Ovis aries: one gene and its partner. The protein of the gene in region 1 interacts with the protein of each later gene in a pairwise test. Links are inferred from orthologs where the notes say so. Each region holds a gene or a part of one and is shown in the gene's direction. Other genes may lie near its edges.

Evidence for each region.
Region 2: the proteins of KASH5 (region 1) and G patch domain-containing protein 4 interact in binary tests that used the Homo sapiens proteins (3 or more experiments, as listed by UniProt). The two-hybrid records come from large-scale screens. The link is inferred for Ovis aries from reciprocal best matches to the Homo sapiens genes KASH5 and GPATCH4.

Annotation. Positions count from the first base shown.
Region 1 is NC_056067.1:55,606,185-55,615,810, forward strand, and holds the end of KASH5 (protein KASH5), read left to right. Parts: intron 1-196; coding exon 197-274; intron 275-540; coding exon 541-597; intron 598-1,067; coding exon 1,068-1,127; intron 1,128-1,869; coding exon 1,870-1,934; intron 1,935-2,100; coding exon 2,101-2,188; intron 2,189-2,461; coding exon 2,462-2,584; intron 2,585-4,838; coding exon 4,839-4,897; intron 4,898-6,650; coding exon 6,651-6,696; intron 6,697-8,155; coding exon 8,156-8,220; intron 8,221-8,303; coding exon 8,304-8,414; intron 8,415-8,522; coding exon 8,523-8,661; 3' UTR 8,662-9,458; downstream 9,459-9,626. UniProt on the Homo sapiens protein: As a component of the LINC (LInker of Nucleoskeleton and Cytoskeleton) complex, involved in the connection between the nuclear lamina and the cytoskeleton.
Region 2 is NC_056054.1:106,562,233-106,572,511, reverse strand, and holds the start of G patch domain-containing protein 4, read left to right. Parts: upstream 1-4,240; 5' UTR 4,241-4,314; intron 4,315-6,221; 5' UTR 6,222-6,279; coding exon 6,280-6,358; intron 6,359-6,816; coding exon 6,817-6,890; intron 6,891-6,997; coding exon 6,998-7,090; intron 7,091-7,183; coding exon 7,184-7,270; intron 7,271-7,586; exon of another isoform or gene 7,587-8,948; coding exon 8,949-9,037; exon of another isoform or gene 9,038-9,272; coding exon 9,273-9,323; intron 9,324-9,553; coding exon 9,554-10,279.

The DNA of each region.
Region 1 (9,626 bases):
AATAAAAAGTGAAAAAAAAAAGTCTTAGAAAGGCTGCCATTGAAGGATAATTAAAGCCGCATCTGAAAGGCTCAGGAAAAAGAGAAAGGGTGCCCAGCATGAGGCCTGATGCACATCAGGTGCTCAGCACATGTCTTCTCTGAGTATTAACATGGCCATTTGCTGACGTGATCGTGACCAGGGTCCCTTCTTCCAGAATGGGAAGCTCCTGGCCGAGCGGGATGGAGTGAAGAGGAGGAGTGAGGAGCTGGCCTCGGAGAAGGACATCTTGAAGGTGGCACCCCTCCCTAGTGCCTTGACGATTTCCTACCTCCCTGAGGCCCGTTTTTAGCCTCATCAGTTTCAGCCCCTTTGGTCTGGTGAGATCAGGGGTTTGACTCAAGCTCTGAGGTCCCCAGGGCCAGTGGGCAACTCACTGAAGTCCCCCTCGGGGTAGCTGACGTCCAGAGATGTGAAGGGAGGTTGAGGAGAGGAGCTATAGAGAGCGGGATAGGCCGGGGAGGGCAGGCCAGACAGATGGACGGGCTCCTTCTTTGGCAGCGGCAGCTCTACGAGTGTGAACACCTCATTTGCCAGCGAGACGCCATCCTCTCCGAGGTGAGTGGGCTGGAGGGAAATGTGCCTTCGATGTGTCTCCTGCCCCAAGTCTACAAAGGAAAATCCTCCTTGGCTCTAGGGCCTCCCAGGTGGCACTAGTGGTAAAGATCCCGCCTGCCGATACAGGAGACGTAAGAGACGCGGGTTCAGTCCCTGGGTTGGGAAGATCCTGTAGAGGAGCACATGGTAGCCCACTCCAGTATTCTTGCCTGGAGAATCCCATGGACAGAGGAGCCTGGCGGGCTACGGTCCACATGACTGAAGTGACTTAGCCATGCACGCATACTAGACTCTAATCCTTGGAGACTCAGCCCAGAGAGGTCAGAGGGTTTCCAGGGAAGCTGATGCTCTCTTCAGGTCTTGCTCTGCCCCCAGCCCATCACACCCATCCGACCCCCCTTCCCCTGCGACCAGACCTCAGAGTTTTTGGTGGGTTGAGCCCGGCCTCAATCAGCTTTGGGCTTTCCCAGCGCACTCGCCACGCGGAGAGCCTGACCAAGACCTTGGAGGAGTACAGAGCCACAACCCAGGTAACCCCCTGGCCCGGCCACAGGCCCTGCTTCTGTTTTGCCATCTCTGGGGTGTGTCCTGCCTCCTCCTATGTCTGATGATCTTTTTCCGAGTCTCCACCTCTTGTTTCTACCATCACTGCTGCTTGACTGTGTGCGTCTCTCCCCCTCCCTCTCTCTCTGCGTTTTCACTTTTCCTCTGTCCTTCCTCTCTCTGTATCTCCATCTCCCACCCACTTTGATTCTCTGTGGGTGATTTCTCACAGTGTCTGCCCTGCCCCTGTTTCTGTGTCCCTGCCTGGCTGGTTTCAGTCTCTGCCGCTCTCTGGGTCAGTTCTCTGTCTCCTGGGGTTACTCCTCTCTCTGTCCCTTGTCTTCACAGTCTCTTGCTCCCCATCTGTGTGTGATAGGGCTGTTCAGTTCAGTCGCTCAGTCACGTCTGACTCTTTGCGACCCCACGAATCGCAGCACGCCAGGCCTCCCTGTCCCCTATGTGTGTCTCTCATTTTCCCATATGTTTCCATCTCTGCTTTCCTTTTCTTAGTTTTCCTGACCGATAGGTTACATTCTGGGTTCCTGTTGCTCTTTACCTCTCGTTGGCTTCTTAAGTTTCTGCTACTGTTTCTTCCCCTTCTCTCCTTGTCTGTATGTGTATGGAGGATCCCAAAGAAGTCAAAGGAGTGGACCTGGCCTTGGAAGAGGAGCCCAGACATGGGGCTGGGGAAAAGGCAGAGCCAGGGGTCCCTCAATCCTTCCTTTGCAGGAACTGAGGCTGGAAATCTCCCACCTGGAGGAGCAGCTGAGTCAGACCCAGGAGGGGCTGGATGAGTGAGTAGAACGACGGGGGAGGAGGAAGCAGGAGGGGAGCCCAAGGACAGGGAGCCCCCACCGTGGCGTCCAGCCCCAAGGTGGGCAGGGCAGTAGCCTCAGCATAGGCTGGCTGACAGGTGGTTGGGCATGGAGGCAGCCTTCCCCCTCCTGACTGTGTGGCCAGGTTATCCGAAGGGGCCCAGGTGAGGAGAGCGGACTGCACCAACCTGCTGCCGCCGTCGCTGGGTGTGGAGATCCAGGCCATTCAGCAGGTGGGCCTGACACCCCCAGAACACCCTAAGCCACCGCCAGCGGCAACTCTGACCCCGCCCTGACTCTCACCCCACTCCAGTCCTCCCAGGACCACCTCGGTTCTTAACCTCATCCCTGTCCCAGTCCTTGGTCCAGGCACCAAACCCTTCCCGGTGCTGCCCCACGGACCCCCAGGCACCCTCATATCACTCTCCCCGCCCCCAACCTCATGCCTCAGCCCATCTCCATGCCACCCCTGACCTCTGCCTTCACTGGCCTCTCCCTGGCCTCAGAAGCAAGAGGAGACACCCATCGATTTCTCCAGCCCACTGTGTGGAGTGTGGCCATGGGAGGAGGTGGTCAGTGAGGCGGATGGGGAGGATGAGCTTCCTCCTGAAACCCCGTCGGGGGGGCAGGTGAGCACAGGAGAGCCCTGAGACTGCTGGGTCCAGGGGCTGGGAGCGGGGCCCGGGACGCGTTCACTGTTCCCCACCCCATAGGCAGGTGTGGACTGAGGGCCTGCTGGGTGCTGGCCTCAGAGCCCCTGGCCAGACAGGACACCACCCCTGCCCTCCAGGGACTGGCCTGCTGGTGTGGAAGTGAGCCAACCAAACATGCAGATTTCATGGGGTGGGGGTGGTTTCAAAAGCACTGTCCAGAATCACCTTATTTAAAATGTTACAAGGTGGGAAGGGAGGAAGTGAATTGTTCTTCCTGATACCATGTAGGTACTTTAAGCATTTACCTTTTAAAAAAACCTTTAAGAAAAAACAAGCCCACTATGTAATCCTGAATCCAACAATAGCCATCATCTGTAGTTACCTGAACAATATTTCAAACCTCATTTGAAACAATGAAGACAGCTCATATTCAGTGTTCACAGTTGAAAAGTGAGATTTGTAATCTGTTAGTGACTGGAGGATTTTTTTTTAAGAAAATATTGCTAAAAGTTCTGTAAACAATGCTTTATTGTCTTGAAAATCATACTGCTTCCTCGCTGCTCACCACCCTTGAAAGAGACAGTTTCTCTGTTCGCTTTTTCTCTGAATTGAGAGAATCTTCTGTTGGATTCCTCTCTGCCCTCTCCCACTGTCTCTGCGGGCTGTAGGCGCCCTCATCCCTCACCCTGTTATTCTTGGGAAACTGAGGCTCAGAGAGAGATCACACAGCTTGTGGGGAGCACAGCTGCATTCCTCAGGGGAAGCATGCATTTTAAAAATTATATTTAATTTTGGCTGTGCTGGGCTTCACTGCCACGAGGGCTTTTCTCTAGCTGAGGCAAGTGGGGGCCTACTCCCTAGTTGCTGTGCACGGGCTTCCATTGCAGTGGTCTCTCTTGTTGTGGAGCATGGGTTCTAGGGCAAGAAGGCTCTGGAGCACAGGCTCAGTAGTTGCAGCACACGGGTTTAGTTGCTCCTCCGTATGTGGGGTCTTCCCGGATCTGGGATCAAACCCGTGTTTCCTGCAATGACAGGCAGTCTTTCCTGCTGAGCCACCAAGGAAGCCCCACAAGTGTACATCAGAACTTCCGCTGAGAGTGCTCAGACGCCTCCTGGAGGGGAAGACTGAGCCAGGCCTCTGCGTGCTGCCTGCACTGGGTCCTGGGGACCCTGTGGGGCTCAGGACCTGATAGATCATGAAAATGGGCCATCCCAATGCAGGATGATCTGTGTGCTAGGGGATTGGGGGATGGGCCCTGGGGAAGCCCAGAGAAAGGGAATACCTGTGTGGAATAGGAGATATCACAGGGAAACTGACGCTTGAGTTTATATTGAAGAAATAAGAGAAGTTAAGTGGTGTGAGAAAGGAGAGGCCTTCCAGGCAGTGGGAACAGTATGCGGAGAGGACATGGGAGCATGAAACCACATAACACGTTTGGAAGGTAGAGGGCAGTTGGGAGTGACTAGCCAGAGATGAGGTGAAGCCGGATCATGAAAGGAATTCCCTGCCAGTGAGGGTGAGAGGCAGTGCGTGGGGAGGGGCAGGTCAGTTCTGGATGTGCTGCACAGAAAGATCCCTCTGGGGCCACATGGGAGACTGGGAGGCCAGGGAGGAGGCTGGGGCAGTGGTCCAGAGTTAGAGGATGAAGCTGGAGCCAGGCCAGGGCCTTGGGATAGAGAAAAAGGGACAGGCAGTGAGAATTAGGCAGGGGAGACAGAGCTGCCAACTCACCAACAGGGGGCTAAGAGCTCTGGGTTCTGGAAAAGGGGGTAGACAGACAGACGCTGAACCTACCTTGTGACCCCCTAAGGTGAGCACCCTGAGGGATGGGGGGTGCTGCCCCGGAGGTAGTGGGTGCACGAGGGTAGAGCGCAGTGATGCATTTAGAAAGGCGTCTCGGTGGTGGCTGAGGCCACAGGCAAGGCTGGATGTCTTCAGAGAAAACGGAGGGGGACCTGGGTGCCCACAACTGGGAACCTGGGAGGAGAAGGGGGTTGGAAGGGAAATGCTGAGCCTCTTTGGGGCCCAGATGAGTGTGAGAGGCTTGTGGGAGTGTCAGAAGTTCAGGGGGACCTGAATTCCTGGTCCCAAAGGAAAACTACTGGTCCACTTTCGGGCTTCTGCCCCTGGAGGGAAGGTAGAGCCACCCTTGAGGGGGAGCCCAGGAGAAGGGCCGGTTTTAGAAGTGGGTGGGGAAGCCCAGGATACCTAGGCTTTTCTTTCCCACAGAGAAACTCGCAGGAAGAGTCAGCGCAGCCTCAGGAAGGAAGGGAGGAGCCATCCACGAGGTAAGGAGATTGGTCCTCCCTGAGCCATCCCTCTGGCCCCCTGGGTGACTCTGAGATGGCTGGAGTACAGGCCTGGAAGAGCCCCAGGGGAGGCTTATGCAAAGCCGTGACCTCTGGGCCCCTCGCTCGCGCAGAGGCGATCCTGGGCCTGCGGACCAGAATGAATCAGACCAGCCTTACCCCCAGACCCTGGTAGTTCAGGAGGACATCTAGCCCCTGACCCCTCCTGGGGGAAAGACTTGAAAGAGGCCCTGCTTAGGGTCCTCTGGGAGTAGTATTCGTATAGGAGACCCCTAGGCAAGAAGACAGCCGTCAGGCAGATGGGATAGCTCACTCAGTCACTGTCACTGAACACACTTCTCTAAGGCTCCCAAGGAGCCCTGGTGCAAATGAGACCTAGATTGTGCCCCAGCAGAGCACTCAGACAGCTGGGATACCCTGGGGTCTCTGTGATCACACAGCCTGGGTTCAGATCCCCGCTTAGTTACTCTGTGATGGGATGGGGCAATCCCGCGCCCTGTGACTGTTAATCAACTATTACAAGGCTTGTGTGCAGCTTCCAAAGATAGGGAAAGCACCGGATGTCTGGGCCCACCCTCCTCCACGGGGCCTCCGCCTCCCTGCAGGGCCTCTCTCTCCCTCCTCCCCTCTTTCAGGCTCCTGGCTGTGACAACTAATGAGGCTGCCTGCTACGGCCTCTAATTGGAGTTGTCTGAGAAAGCTGAGATTGGGCGGGATGGGGGGCCCCCCGGCGCTGTAACCTCCCCGTGCGTCACCAGGGAATGGAAAGAAGACAGCGCTGAGCAGCAGCGGGCACCAGAGCTGGTGTAGAGGCTGGGCATCCCAGTCTCCCTGGGGCAGGGGAGAGCAGTATGGTCCACAAAGTGGGAAGCCGGGAGTGAGGGAAGTGGTGAGTCCTGTGGGGCCCAGATACTGAGAGGGGCTGGGCCCCACACTCCCACCCCACCATAGAAATCCCAGGGGATAAGACAGCTGGTTATCTGACTGAACCAGAGGCTGGGGGCCTATGAGCCTGGGTGCCTTACTGAATCGGAATTGAGGAAACAGCTGTATCCTGAGGGTGTTGGGTCTGAAACTGGTGGCTAAGGCTAGATCACTGGGTCCCTGGTCCCCAGTGAAGGTGGTGATGGGTGGTGCAGACATCTCAGGCTCCAAGGAACGTTGGGGCTGGGCAGCTTGTGTCTTGAGTCCCCAGAGAGGCGCCTGTTTCAGGGGCTCAGGCAGCTGTGACCACGGGGGCACAGAGGCTGGGGCTTGCACACCTAAGAGAAATGACTTAGGATGGGGGCAGGGTCCACAGAGTTGAGTTCTGGAGTCAGGGAAGCCTGAGCTGGAGTCCCAGTTCTCCAAGAAGACCCAATGAGACCCAGACTCCCTGAGCATGGCCCAGCCCACCAGGCAGGAAGCTGGGGCAGGGGGCAGGGTCTCAGAGATGTCTGAGACCCAGAAGCCTCTGATCACCTGGGGGACCTGCTGGGAAAGGAGCAGCTAAGAAAGCCAATAAGGTGGAGGGGCCCCTGACCCTTTAGGGGTCACACACAGACTCTCTGGGGAATTTGGTGAAAAAATACAGATGCTAACCTACACGCAACAGTCTGCTCGCGGGGCTCCAGGGCACCCTCCAGGTCCATGTACGTGAAGACCTCCTGCTTTAAAGGTTCTGCCACACAGCTGGTGAATGGGAGCCAGGCAGGGGAGACAGATGCTTGCAGTGACTTTCTTGTCGCCCCAGGTTGCCCAGAAGAGAGGAAGAGGACGAAGCGGAGATCCAGGTCGTGGTAGGCAGTCCCCGGCACCATTCACTTCAGGCCCTCAGATGAGGCTTCTGTAGTCAAAGCTCCTCCCCAGCCCCTGCCCACACCCCCAAACAGACAGAAAAATCGTTTGGCCGAGAGTTAACAATGCCCTCGCTGTAGCTAATGAGAGCAGACAGTGCTGTAGAGGGAGGCTTCAGGCAAGTGGGCAGCTAGAATGTTCCCAGGGGACCCCCCCTACACACTGCACATGGGGCCGCAGCCTCTGCCACAGACGTGGCTACACCCCAAGACTGCGCAAATGCGCACATATGTATGCCCACACTCCAGAAGAGCCAGACCTTCCCCAGCCAGCCCAGAACTCCTGGGGCACCGCATCTGTCATAGCTGCCCTGCCGGCACCACACACGGCAGCTCCTTTGCTCCTCAAAGCGGCAGGTGGCAATCCTGGTTCTCAGGCAGAGGAAGCAGAGGAAGGAAACGTGGTGAGGTCAGAAGCCAGAAGGTGTGCCGGCTTCCGTTCTGGGCACCTGGGGTTCTTCAGGGTCCACGCTGACCAAGATGCTCTCCCTGGCCCACCTCTTTCCCACCACACCACACTCCCATCCGTGGAGACTGGGGCCCACCTCAGCTTCCTCACGGCTAGTGTGACGACGATCTTACCCAGCTCCCAGGGTGGGGATGAAGGTTAAGCATCGCATCATAAAGTGCCTGGCACAGAGCCGACGCACTGTAGGTGACCGTGGTGAAGACGGTGGCTGAGACCAGGGTGTTGCTAGAACTCCTTGTTTATTATTGTATTGTTATTGCCATAGTCGTCATCCACAGACCAGAGGCAGGCCTGAGAAAGCCTGAGATCTGCAGAGGGGATACCCTTTCAGAAAGACACAGGGAAAAAGAAACACATGGGGGGTGACGTGGTAAAGTAAGGAGTACTGGGGGCTTTAATCTTAAAATACCTGCTGGGCCTGGTGCAGGGCAGGAAGATGGACCCGAGGAGTGTCCATGCTGTACTAGGCCCAGGCCAGGGCTGGGTTCCTGGAGGAGACAGAGTCTTTGACCTCAGGGGGCTTGGGTGCTTCCAGAATCAGACAGAAAGTGGAAATAATAATACTGAATAGCTCACATAGTCACTGGGTGCTGTCCGCCAGGCGCTGTTCTAAGCCCACCTCCTGACAGTGTAGGTTTTGCCCACATTCTCCCATTCATTCTCCACTTCAGCCCTTTGAGGTGGGCGTTGTCATCACCGCTGTCTGGCAGATGGAGAAAGTGGGGCCTGACAGGTGGGGTGACGTGCAAGTGCCACACGGCAGGAAACTGGCAGAGCTGGGAGCCCAGCGCAGCAGCGTGTGTTGGGGAGGCTCTCACACAGAACCACTGTGTCCTGCCCCCTTCCGTGTGCGCACTTCTGTCCAGTGGGCTGACTAGAGCACCTCTCCTGGTCCAGCAAACCTGAGACCGTTTGTCCCCTTTGTCCTTCCAGGTGGACCTCCCCATCCATCCAGAAGACTCACACCCTGGAGACATCCTTGGAAACCCTCCTGAGAGGTAGTGGGACCCAGGGGCCTGGGATGGGACTTGGGGAGCGAGGGGAAGACCAACACCGTTGCCCTGCCTTCCTTTCTCCTTAGCAGCCCCTCAGAACCAGAGCTGCAGCAAGCCCTGGTGCCCGTGGTGAAGGAGCTGGTCCCAGTCAGGAGGCCAGTCTGGGGCCAGCTCTGCCTGTGCCCCCTGCGCCTCCAGTGGCTCAGGTGCACACCACAGCATCTCGAGAAGGAGGGTGGTGGTCAGACGTCTGGACACCACGGGCTCCCCAGGGCGCCGCCGAGCACTGTGCCGCCTCCCCGCAGGGTCAGCCGGCACCTCCTGATCCCGGCGCCGCTCCTGGGCCTGCTGCTGCTGCTGCTCTCCGTCCTGCTGCTGGGCCAGTCCCCGCCCCCCACATGGCCCCACCTCCAGCTCTGCTACCTCCAGCCTCCTCCAGTGTGAGCCATGCCCCACCCCTGCAGAGCAATGTCTAGTTCGGTGACTTCCTGGGGCTCTTTCTACTGTTATTCCCGTGGTTGTGCCACTGTGACTTGGGATTATCCCGCTGTCAGGGGCCCCAGATAGAGTGCTCCAGGAGCCACACCTCTGTACTGGGTTTTTATGTGCAGTCTCTTGGGTTTTTAATGATAGCAAAATACTAGGGGTTATAGTTTCCTCACAAACCAAGTCTGAAGAAGGGCAGCTGTCAGCCCATAGCTCAGTCTCCACAGCATTGGGACAGAGTGCTGTAATTCTCTCTACCTCTCTTGGCCCTTCCCTTGTGCTCAGGAGACAACACTGTAGCTTCATAAGTGATGTCTGCAGGGAGAAGGGGACACACATCCCTTCCTTTTTATAAAGGAAAGCTATAGCCTTCCCAGAGCCAGCAGCAGACTCTGCCTTGTTAGCCAGAACTGTTCACCATGACCACTCCTCGCTGTAAGGGCAGCTGGGAGACTCCTGGCAGAAAGAGGGAGAACAAGATGTAGGCTACCACGCGCAGACACACAGATGTCACCAACAGCCAGCAGGAAAGGACGTGCCATTTGTTCATTCAGCTCATTCTTAGTGACCATCTATTTGCCATGGCTAGATCTTAGAAGACAAAAAACCAGACCCTCCAATGCCAGGCTGAAGAGTGTTGATTTTTCTCCTGAGGATGACAGGGGTTTGGGGATGTTTTGTTACTTGTTTTTGGTTATTTACTTTGTAATTAAGCTGTAACTGACATACAGTTATAAATGGACAAATCCCAAATATCAGCTGGCTACATTATTGTACATGTAAACACCCGTGAAAGCAAAACCCAGGTTAGGACAGAAAGCAGTTTCAGCACCACAGAGACTTCTTCAGGAGAGCTTTGAGCAAGGGAGGGACCATGGTAGAGGTGGCTTCAGGCTCTGTGAGAGCTCAGAAAAAGCACCTAA
Region 2 (10,279 bases), on another chromosome or scaffold:
CCAACCATCTCATCCTCTGTCTTCTCCTCCTCCTCCTGCCCTCAATCTCTCCCAGCATCAGGGTCTTTTCAAATGAGTCAGCTCTTCACATGAGGTGGCCAAAGTATTGGAGTTTCAGCCTCAGCATCAGTCCTTCCAGTGAACACCCAGGACTGGTCTCCTTTAGGATGGACTGGTTGGATCTCCTTGCAGTCCAAGGGACTTGCAAGAGTCTTCTCCAACACCACAGTTCAAAAGCATCAATTCTTCGGTGCTCAGCTTTCTTTACAGTCCAACTCTCACATCCATACATGACTACTGGAAAACCATAGCCTTGACCAGATGGACCTTTGTTGGCAAAGTAATTTGGAGAGTGATCTTATTAAGTCTGCCAATCCATAAACACAGGTATTTTTCCATTTATGTAGGTCTTCTTTTGCTTCTTTCAATGACATTTTTGAATTTTCAGGGTATAATTATTACACTTTTTTTGCTATATTTTATTAAATTACTAAGTGTTTTATTTATTTTGATGCCATAGTCAATGAATTTTTAATATCGATGGCTCTTACTATTTAGGGACCAGTTTGTATCTTCTACTTTGTCAACAAAGGTCCATCTAGTCAAGGCTATGGTTTTTCCTGTGGTCATGTATGGATGTGAGAGTTGGACTGTGAAGAAAGCTGAGCGCCAAAGAATTGATGCTTTTGAACTGTGGTGTCGGAGAAGACTCTTGAGAGTCCCTTGGACTGCAAGGAGATCCAACCAGTCCATTCTAAAGGAGACCAGTCCTGGGTGTTCACTGGAAGGACTGATGCTGAAGCTGAAACTCCCAATACTTTGGCCACCTCATGTGAAGAGTTGACTCATTAGAAAAGACCCTGATGCTGGGAGGGACTGGGGGCAGGAGGAGAAGGGGACGACAGAGGATGAGATGGCTGGATGGCATCACTGACTCGATGGACATGAGTTTGAGTGAACTCTGGGAGTTGGTGATGGACAGGGAAGCCTGGTGTGCTGCGATTCATGGGGTCGCAAAGAGTCGGACATGACTGAGCGACTGAACTGAACTTGTACCTGTTTTTTTCACTTCAATCATATCATAGACATTTCCCCAAAATTATTAGAAATCCTTCTTCAAATTCATTTTTTAAGACTATGTATTAGTGCACTGTATATTTCCACTCTTTGAGCAAACTCTGGGAGATAGTGAAGGATGGGGAACCTGGTGTGCTGCAGTTCAAAGGGTCACAAGGAGTAAGACATGACTTAGTGACTGGGCAATAAAGCAACAATGATTCCACTGTAAGTTATTTAGCCATTATCCTGTTGTGGAATATTTAGGTTCTTTGCTTTTTTTTCCCCCATTTTATAAATATTCCTGTAATAAATATTTCTGCTGATCTTTCTATGTCTGCATTTCAGATTATTTTCTTATAAGTAGTCATGGCCCCTTCCAGCACAAAAGAACACAGCAAGAAGTTGCCAGATATGAATCAGGAAAAGGGCCCTCACCAGAAGGTCATCAACCTGGTGCCTTGATCTTGGACTTCCCAGCATTCAGAACTGAGAGGGGCCAAGACGGAGGAGTAGAAAGACCCCGAGCTTACCTTATAAATAGTCATGTATTCTTGCTCTCTCATAATGGCTTTTATTTTGCACAACTCTTGTGAAGAGTTTGAAGCCCCTGAAATTTTGAACTCCTGGAGGCCCATTTCTTCTTTTGCAACCCCACATAGCCTCCAGGGACAGGCCTGCAGGGGCCCTGACTTCTTTTACCCCCACAGCACTGTGTTCTGACCTTGCCACAGCTCTCATCACTCACTGATATAAGTTCATGGTAACTTGTTACACCCCCACATGATCGAGAAGCCCAACAGAACATGGGCTGGACCTTTAGTCCTTGGTCTATAGAAGACCCTTAATAAATATTTATCAAATGAGTGAGCCAGGCAGAGTTCAAGTTCCTAGGCCAGACTCAGAATCTTGAGTCAACAAGTTATGTTGTTCAGTTGCTCCGACTGAACAAGTTGTATCCAACTCTTTGCAACCCCACGGACTGCAGCAGGCCACGCTTCCCTATCTTTCACTATCTCCCAGAGTTTGTTCAAACTCATGTCTGTCAAGTAGATGATACCATCCAACCATTTCATTCTCTGTCGCCCCCTTCTCCTCCTGCCCTCAATCTTTCCCAGCATCAGGGTCTTTTCCAAGAGTCGGTTCTTCTCATCAGGTGGCCAAAGTACTGGAGCTTCAGTTTCAGCATTAGTCCTTCTAACGAATATTCAGGGTTGATTTCCTTTAGGATTGACTGGGGACTCTCAAGAGTCTTCTCCAACACCACAGTTTGAAAGCATCAATTCTTTGGTACGCAGCTTTTGTTATAGTCCAGCTCTCTCATCCATACATGACTACTGGAAAAGCCAAAGCTTTGAGTATATATGTCTCTGCTTTTTAATATGCAGTCTAGTTTTGCCATAGCTTTTCTTACAAGTAGCAAGCGTCTTTTAATTTCATGGCTGTAGTCACTGTCTGCAGAGATTTTGGAGTCCAAGAAAATAAAGTCTGTCACTGTTTCCATTTTCCCCCCATCTATTTGCCATTAACTGATGGGACTGGATGCCATGATCTTAGTTTTCTGAATGTTCAGTTCAACAAATTATGGCCATTAGATTTTCAGAATGGCCGACAAAGAGTATGCTGAACAGAAATTGTGGGCTGAAAAGGGCCCTTGACCTATTCATGAGTTTTCAAACTTCTTTTATGACCACAGTATAATATGTAATATTAGATAGACAGGGGAGATAGAAAGGGTGGAATATTGAAACGGTGGAAATAAAATCAAGTTTGTAAAGATGATTGTACTAGTCCAACATTCTAATTTTATAGACCAGTGAAAGGTTGCTCTCGAGCAGGAAAAGGACTCAGATCTGACTGCCATTCACGAAACGCTCCTCTATTGAATCCAACCTCTGAACAGTATATTTGAAGCATTCCACATCACTTATGAAAGCATCTACAAGCCCACTAATCAAGATCCATTGTTTAACGTATTGTTCCCATGTAGCATATTTTAAAAGTAAAACTAATTTCATGTTTAAAAAAACATACTGGAATGAGGTAGTATGACATACTGAACAATTGTGACAAAGCTTGAGTGAAATGGCAGCTTTTCTCTTTGAAGATCCTAGGGGGCGCTAAGTTACCGTAAATATTAATGTGAAAGTGAAAGTGAAGTCGCTCAGTCGTGTCCGACTCTTTGAGACCCCAAGGACTGTAGCCTACCAGGCTCCTCTGTACATGGGATTTTCCAGGCAATAGTCCTGGAGTGGATTGCCATTTCCTTCTCCAGGGGATCTTCCCAACCCAGGGATAGAACCCGGGTCTCCCGCATTGTAGACAGACGCTTTCCCGTCTGAGCCAGGGAAGTCCAAATATTGACACAGGGATGCAAATAAGGGAAAACTTTTTTCTTTTTCCCTTCCGATTTTAGTTCCTGGGTGGCTCAGTGGACCCTAAGAACACTGTGGGGATGAGAGGATGTGCAACCTCTCTTGCTGACTTCTTTGCAATATGTTCTTTCCCTCTCCTGCTCAATGGATTCTCATACTTATAAGGCAAGTCTGAACTCCTCAACCTATTATGCATTCCGGGATTTTGCCTCTCCAGTCCCACTCGAGCTTCCAGCTTTGCTTGGGCTAGACAAAGTGCTTCTCGAAGTCAGGGCTCGTGTCTTACGCATCTTTGTATCACCAGTACCAAAGAAGAACAGGTCCTGGCACACAGTGGTGAATCAAAATGTGTTTGATGAACGTATTGAAACCTCTTACCTCTAGGATTTTATTTAAAAAAAAAAAAAAAACAAACTGTCCCTGCAAGCTGAGTATTCATCCCTTGAATTATTAATCACCTCAGAGGTACTACCTCCTTCTCTGCCTCCACGAATCTCTCAGGCCACTCTCGATGCTTTCACCTAAAATTTTCCTTTCTCGTATTTGTGCCTAGGACTAGTCAATGTTGGACCCAAAGCTATTCTCCGAACCCCGATAGAGTCAGGTAGGACTGAAGTCACTTAGCTGCTCAGGGCCTGCTGGGAGGCAATAAGTAGAATACCTCTCGAATCTCCAGAAATGGGCTAGCTCTGGGGCGGAGTTTCTATGGCAACCATACCGCAAGCCGGCCTCTCAGTTTCTCCGGGGACCACAGAGACTCAGTTCCAGCGTACATCTCTATGGTTTCCACAGCCTAGAAGGGTCGAAACAGCACTTCCGGGAAGATGGCTGCGCACAAGTCACGTTTGTCACATGTTTCTGCGGAGAGGATCTCGCAATGACGGTAAGGGGCTACAGTCCCCCGAATGGTGACTGTCATAGCCCGGGCTCAGGGGCAAATGTGACAGAAAGAGAATAGTTTTACTCAAGTGAAGCTGCGGTCGGAGGGCTGGAGTTTTAACCTCCACAGGAAGGAACCCTAGGGAAAGGAGCCAGCTCTTCAGAACCTCTGTAAGAATGGTAGCCCAGGGTCCCTTCTCCAGAAAACTCACGTTGACTGGAAAGAAGACAGTTCCTGAAAGTGTGCTCACAGCCTTCGCAAAGACTGCGAGCACAGCCTGGTATCTAGCTTCTGTCCACAGTTAGCTGTTCTAGGTCGGTTAAGGAAATTCCCACCTGTGTCATTCAGTTCAACAATTAAGGACTGAACGCATTCAGGAGCTGCATTAAGTGCATCAGGGGTTTGGGAATAAGACTAAGCATAGGCTGTGGTATATAATATAATTTCAAATTAATGCGACAAGGCATAGGCTGTGTAAGTCTTAGAGTGTAAAGCGTAAATGGCTATGAGCCTGTGAGTAGTGATTGAGAACACCAGTTCTGGAGTGCCTGAGATCCTAGATCCGCTACTTAACCAGCTATTTGATTTGTGCAAGTAGCTAAACTTTTCAGTGCCATTTCTTCAGTTGTAAGTTACAGTAAAAACACCTCCAGGGAATTCCCTGGTGGTCCAGTGGTTGGGACTCTGTACCTTCACTGCGGAGGGCTGGAGTTCAGTCCGTGGTTGGGGAACTAAGATCCTGCAAGGAACCCGGGGCAGCCAAAACAAAAACCCAAAACACCTCCCTGTGGGGTTGTTGGAAGGATTAAATGAGATAATATGTGTGAAACAATTAGCAACATGCTGGCATGTGGAAGGCTGAGTATAGAATTTGGGTTTTGGTATCAATGGCAGGTCCTAAAACAAGTCCCCCGCTGATAACTGAGGGATGACCGTAGTTGGGAATATAATAGAAGCCGGGCTACTATACAGTCATGCATCCTGGGCTCATATTTCCAGCTACATCCCTTACCAGCTATATAAGAAACCAGGCAAGAAACCGAGACTTTATTTTTCTCCTCTATAAAATAATATCTGTCTTACAGAACTGTTAGGGTTAAATGAGACAGTATAATAGTATGTGTAATCCTCCTGTTAAATATAAGAGCGCCTTTCCAAGCTGGACAGTTTCAAAAAGGGTGCTCCAACAAGACTGAAAGACAGTGGTGGTGAAGCCCCCACAGTGTAAATGCTGGGGCACAGGTATAGGATACAGGCTTTATTAAGCACTGCTGTCTTATAACTGGAGGAGGAGATGGCAGCCTACTCCAGTATTCTTGCTGGGAGAACCCCATGGGCAGAGGAACCTGGCGGGCTACAGACCAAAGGGTCACAAAGAATCACACAACTGAGCACAGACAGATATCACTCAGGTTAACAAACATCTCATTGCTTTGCTTTGTTTTTAACATGGTAATAAATCATGGGAGATATTGTCAGGTAGCGGTAAAGAGTGGGAATTCTGCAGACCAGCTGCCTGAGTGTGAATTCTACATGCATCAGCTGTGTGACCTTGAGCAAGTCACCTAACCTCTTTAGGCTTTAGTTTCCTCATTTGAACAAAAGGATAGTAATACCTTCCTGAATGCAAAGTTTAGGAAATCTTCCTGGACTGGGACGGTTACATGAAATGATCCATGCAAAGTCTTAGCAAAGCCCAGCGTGTGGTGAGCTCTCCATAAATTTAGGTATTATTGTTAATACTGGTCCTCCTTGACTTTCAGCATGTTGACCTCTCAGTGGTCAGGGAGCTCCCTAAGGACCAGGCCTCCCAGCTTGATCTCTGTTCCAGCTCCAGGAAAGAATTCTTATAAGAGCGGTTAGGATGGATTTGGTACATGATCTGAGCACTTTCTCCCTTCCTCTTAAAGGGATGACAGTGACTGCTGCTTCTCCAGTGAGAGCCTGAAGACAGTGACTTTTCTCACCATGAGTATCACCCCCGAGGTCAAGAGTCGGGGGATGAAATTTGCTGAGGAGCAGTTGCTAAAGCATGGATGGACTCAAGGTGATTCCCAGGGGGCCCCTTCCACATCCCCCAACTCCCTCACTACCCTCTGCCCAGGGGAGAGGCATTATCCTGGATTAACCTCTCTGTAGTCTGTTCAACGGAAGAGGAAAAGTTAAAGAGAAAATTTGCAGAAGAAAATTCAGCAATTTCCAGACATTTCCAGAAAAGGGAAGAAATATGACTGTGGATAGTGAGAAGGAAGTGGCTGAGAGAACTGGGAGTGGGAAAGAGATGACCTCTGTCCTGAGAGAATTATGGGAAAAGAGAGTTTGGGCTCAAAGACATGAAGACCGTATGGAGAGGGAGTAGGAAGAGTGGAACTGGGAGGGTTTCTGAGAGGGACAGGGCACGCTCAGTGCTAGGTGTGTGGAATGACAAGGGCATGTGCCAGGGTTGCTTTGTGAGGGCTTAGGGCAGGCAGTGGAATAAGCCAGGTCATTCGCTGTCTTCTGCAGGCAAAGGCCTGGGCCGGAAGGAGAATGGTATCACCCAGGCCCTCAGGGTGACGCTGAAGCAGGACACTTATGGGGTAAGACTGGACAGACTGCGGGAGGTCAGTGGGGATGGGAGATGGGGGCCTTGAAGATAGGGTGAGGGAGGGGATTGACAAGCCCTGAGTTCACACTTCTCTGGCAGGTGGGACACGACCCTGCCAAGGAGTTCACAAATCACTGGTGGAATGATCTGTTCAACAAGACTGCAGCCAACTTGGTGGTGGAAACTAGGCAGGTATAAGCTCTAATAGCAGGCATGTAACACACGAGGGCCTGGACACATGGGGGTGAGGGAGACGTGGCACCCACTCACACATACTTCCCCCAGGATGGAGTACAGATAAGACGCCTGTCTGAGGAGACCACCCGTCAGGATCACGCCAAGCCCAACTTGCTGTATCAGAAATTTGTGAAGGTATTAGAGGCTGGGGGTGAGAGGGCCCACCCTTTCCCCTTCCCTGGTCTCTTGGGGTCTGAACAATTGCCTTGCATGCCCTACCTGTTCTCAGGACTGTCCTAAGTGGGGTCCTGGGACTAACCTCGCTGTTGCTGACCCAGACTGCCCAGATCCTCAGCAAGAATTGAAATCTTCAGGCTGCATGGATCCCTGCCCTCTGCTGAGGGGGCTGCAACAGGGAGTGGGAGGCGGAGGACAGTCAGGAGCTGCCAGAGGAGAGCAGGGAGGGGACATCTATTTCAAAGGACTTAGAAGCCTGAGGAGACCTGAGAGATTATCGGACCCATTGTCTTTTATTTTGCAGATATGGCCAGAAGGGGGGAGGTGGCTCACTGAAGAGCCCACAGGTGGCTAGTAACTATAAAAACCTGTTCTAGCCAAGGACTAGAACCCAGGTGTTCAGACTTCCCTTTTCTAGCGTGCCAAAGGAAGGGAGCTGACATTTAATGATCTTCCATTACCTGCTTAAAGGCTCTACATGTTATCCAGCAGATCTTCCCCATTCATCTCTGTGGCCATCTTCGGCCCCAGTTCAGACCATCATCTCCTGCATGGTTTCTTCCACAGCCTCATAACTAGCTAGGCTCCTCACTCTAGTCTCAATCCTCGTGCCAATCAGTTCATCCTCCACAAAGCGTCCAGAGTGTTCTCTGTAAAACACAAGTTTCACTGAGTCACTGGCTCCTCCTTGACCTGGGATGACACAGTCTACAGGTGTCAGACTGACGCGGATGGCCCTTCAGGCCGTGTCCTCGCCTTCTTCCCTAGCCTGTTTCTCGCCACTTCTCAGGACCTCTGTCTACTCTTTAGCCAGATTGATTCTGAATCTTTTTCAGGTACCATGTTTTATCACCTTCAAATTTTTGCATATGCTCCCTCTGTCTGGGACATTCTGCTTCCTTTACCTGCTGACCTTTTCGTTGTCTTTCAAAGCCGAGTTACTTGTAGGAACTATTCCCCAAACCCTGAAGCCTGAGTCAGGTATCCCTCCTCTAGCAGAGATAATTGTTGTTTAAGTCATGTCTGACTCTTTGGGGACACTATGGACTGTAGTCTGCCAGTATTTTCTTCATAATTGCCTACATTCTGCCATATCTCCTTCCCTGTTAACCACGTAGGATCTATGTTGGCTGCACCCATCTCATTCTTACTCCACTCTGTATCCCCAGCCTTTTAATCCATAGTAGGTTCTTAACCTGGTTAAAGAACTGTGCATAGGTATTGGCCCAGGGGCGGGGGCGGGGCGGGGCGTGCACAGGTTGTGAAAAGAACCATCTTTGTTGTCTGTTGCTAGAACCGTGAGATGACCACCGGGGGCACTTGTCCCACTGTGAAGACCTAATGACCCGAGCACTTGTCCCTCCCTTCTTCTTTTGCCCACTAGCTAGCTGGCTGTGGGCCAGGGAGCCAGGACTGCCCCTGCCCCACCCATTCCCAACTGCAGCCCACTTCCTGCCCAGGCTGACATATGCAGGTTGGCACACCTCTGTGGAGGTCTGTAAGAAGTGATGTCAGGGGCTGACAGATCTGTGCCTCTGGCTACTTGAGATGGTGGTTGGGAGTGGTTTCCAGAAGGGAAGTGGGATGACGGTGGTGTTGAGTGGGCCTTGTCCATCCCCACGATTCCTCCTTCTAGACGGCCACACTGACTTCAAGTGGGGAGAAGCCAGACAAGGACGGGGAAAGCTGCAGTGATGACAGCCAGGAGCCCAAGCCTCCGAATGTGTGAGACGTCTTTCTAGTGCTGGGGCATATGGGAGGAGATGCCTTCAAATCTCAGAAGGACGGACCAGTGTAATGCTTGGCTGTGGTCTTCTTGGGGGGTGGAACTCTTGTACTAATCTTTGGCACTTCCAGGTCCTGAATAGGAACTCATTGGTGAATGTTTTGGAGGGGAGGAGAGGTCAAGCCTTTCCATCAGATCCATTTGTAATTCCTGATTCCCACCCCTCTCCAACAGGCTGACCGATGAGATGCTGCTCCAGGCCTGCGAGGGACGAACAGCACACAAGTAAGTAGTGGTTGGCTTCTTGGGCTCCCTTCTCTCCCCATCACAAGCCCACCATTGAGGGTGGCCTGTGCCACTCTTTTCACCCCAGAGGAAATGATTCCTACTCTTTGCCCATTTCTGAAGCTGCCTCAAGACAGGTAGCTCCTCCTTACCAACTTTCCCTGCAGTCGCAAAGATGAGGCTTCTTTTCCCTGATGGCCTCCCTCTGACTTGGGCCCCATCTATTTCAGGGCTGCCCGTCTTGGGATCACAATGAAAGCTAAGCTTGCTCGCTTAGAGGCCCAGGAGCAGGCCTTCCTGGCTCGGCTCAAAGGCCAGGACCCTGGGGTCCCTCAACTGCAGTCTGAGAGCAAGCCCCCCAAGAAAAAGAAAAAGAAAAGGAAGCAGAAAGAGGAGGAAGAGGCTACAGCAACTGAAAGGAGTGCAGAAGAGTACTCAGAACACACTGACGAGAGCATCAGAAAAAGCAAGAAGAAGAAAAGACGGCATCAAGAAGAAAGAGTCACAGATGAGAGAGAGGGCACAGCTACAGAAAATGAAGAGACCACAAGAACAGGTGGGCTTGGGGAATTGAAAAACAGAGAGCACATCGACCGGTCCCTCAGGAAAAAGAAGAGGCAGCACCGTGAAGAGGAGAAGGTGGAGCTGGCGGTCTTAGATAATGAGGGAGGCAAGGTGGCTGTCAGTGGAGTCGGGACAGAGGAAGTGGAGAGGAGAGTATACACTCACCCACGTGGCAGAAGCAAGAAGAGGCGGCAGCATGAGGAAGAAGACTTGAACACAGAGGATGAAGAAGTTGAAGAGGCTCTCGTAGATAGTGGGACCAGAGAAGCAGAAAGCACATCGTGCAGTGATCAGAAAAGGGGGAGAAGCAAGAGGAAAAGACGGCAGCATCAGGAGGAGGAAGTCTTGGATGGACCTGGCGTCAACACTGCCCAGAAAGCAAAGAAGAAGAA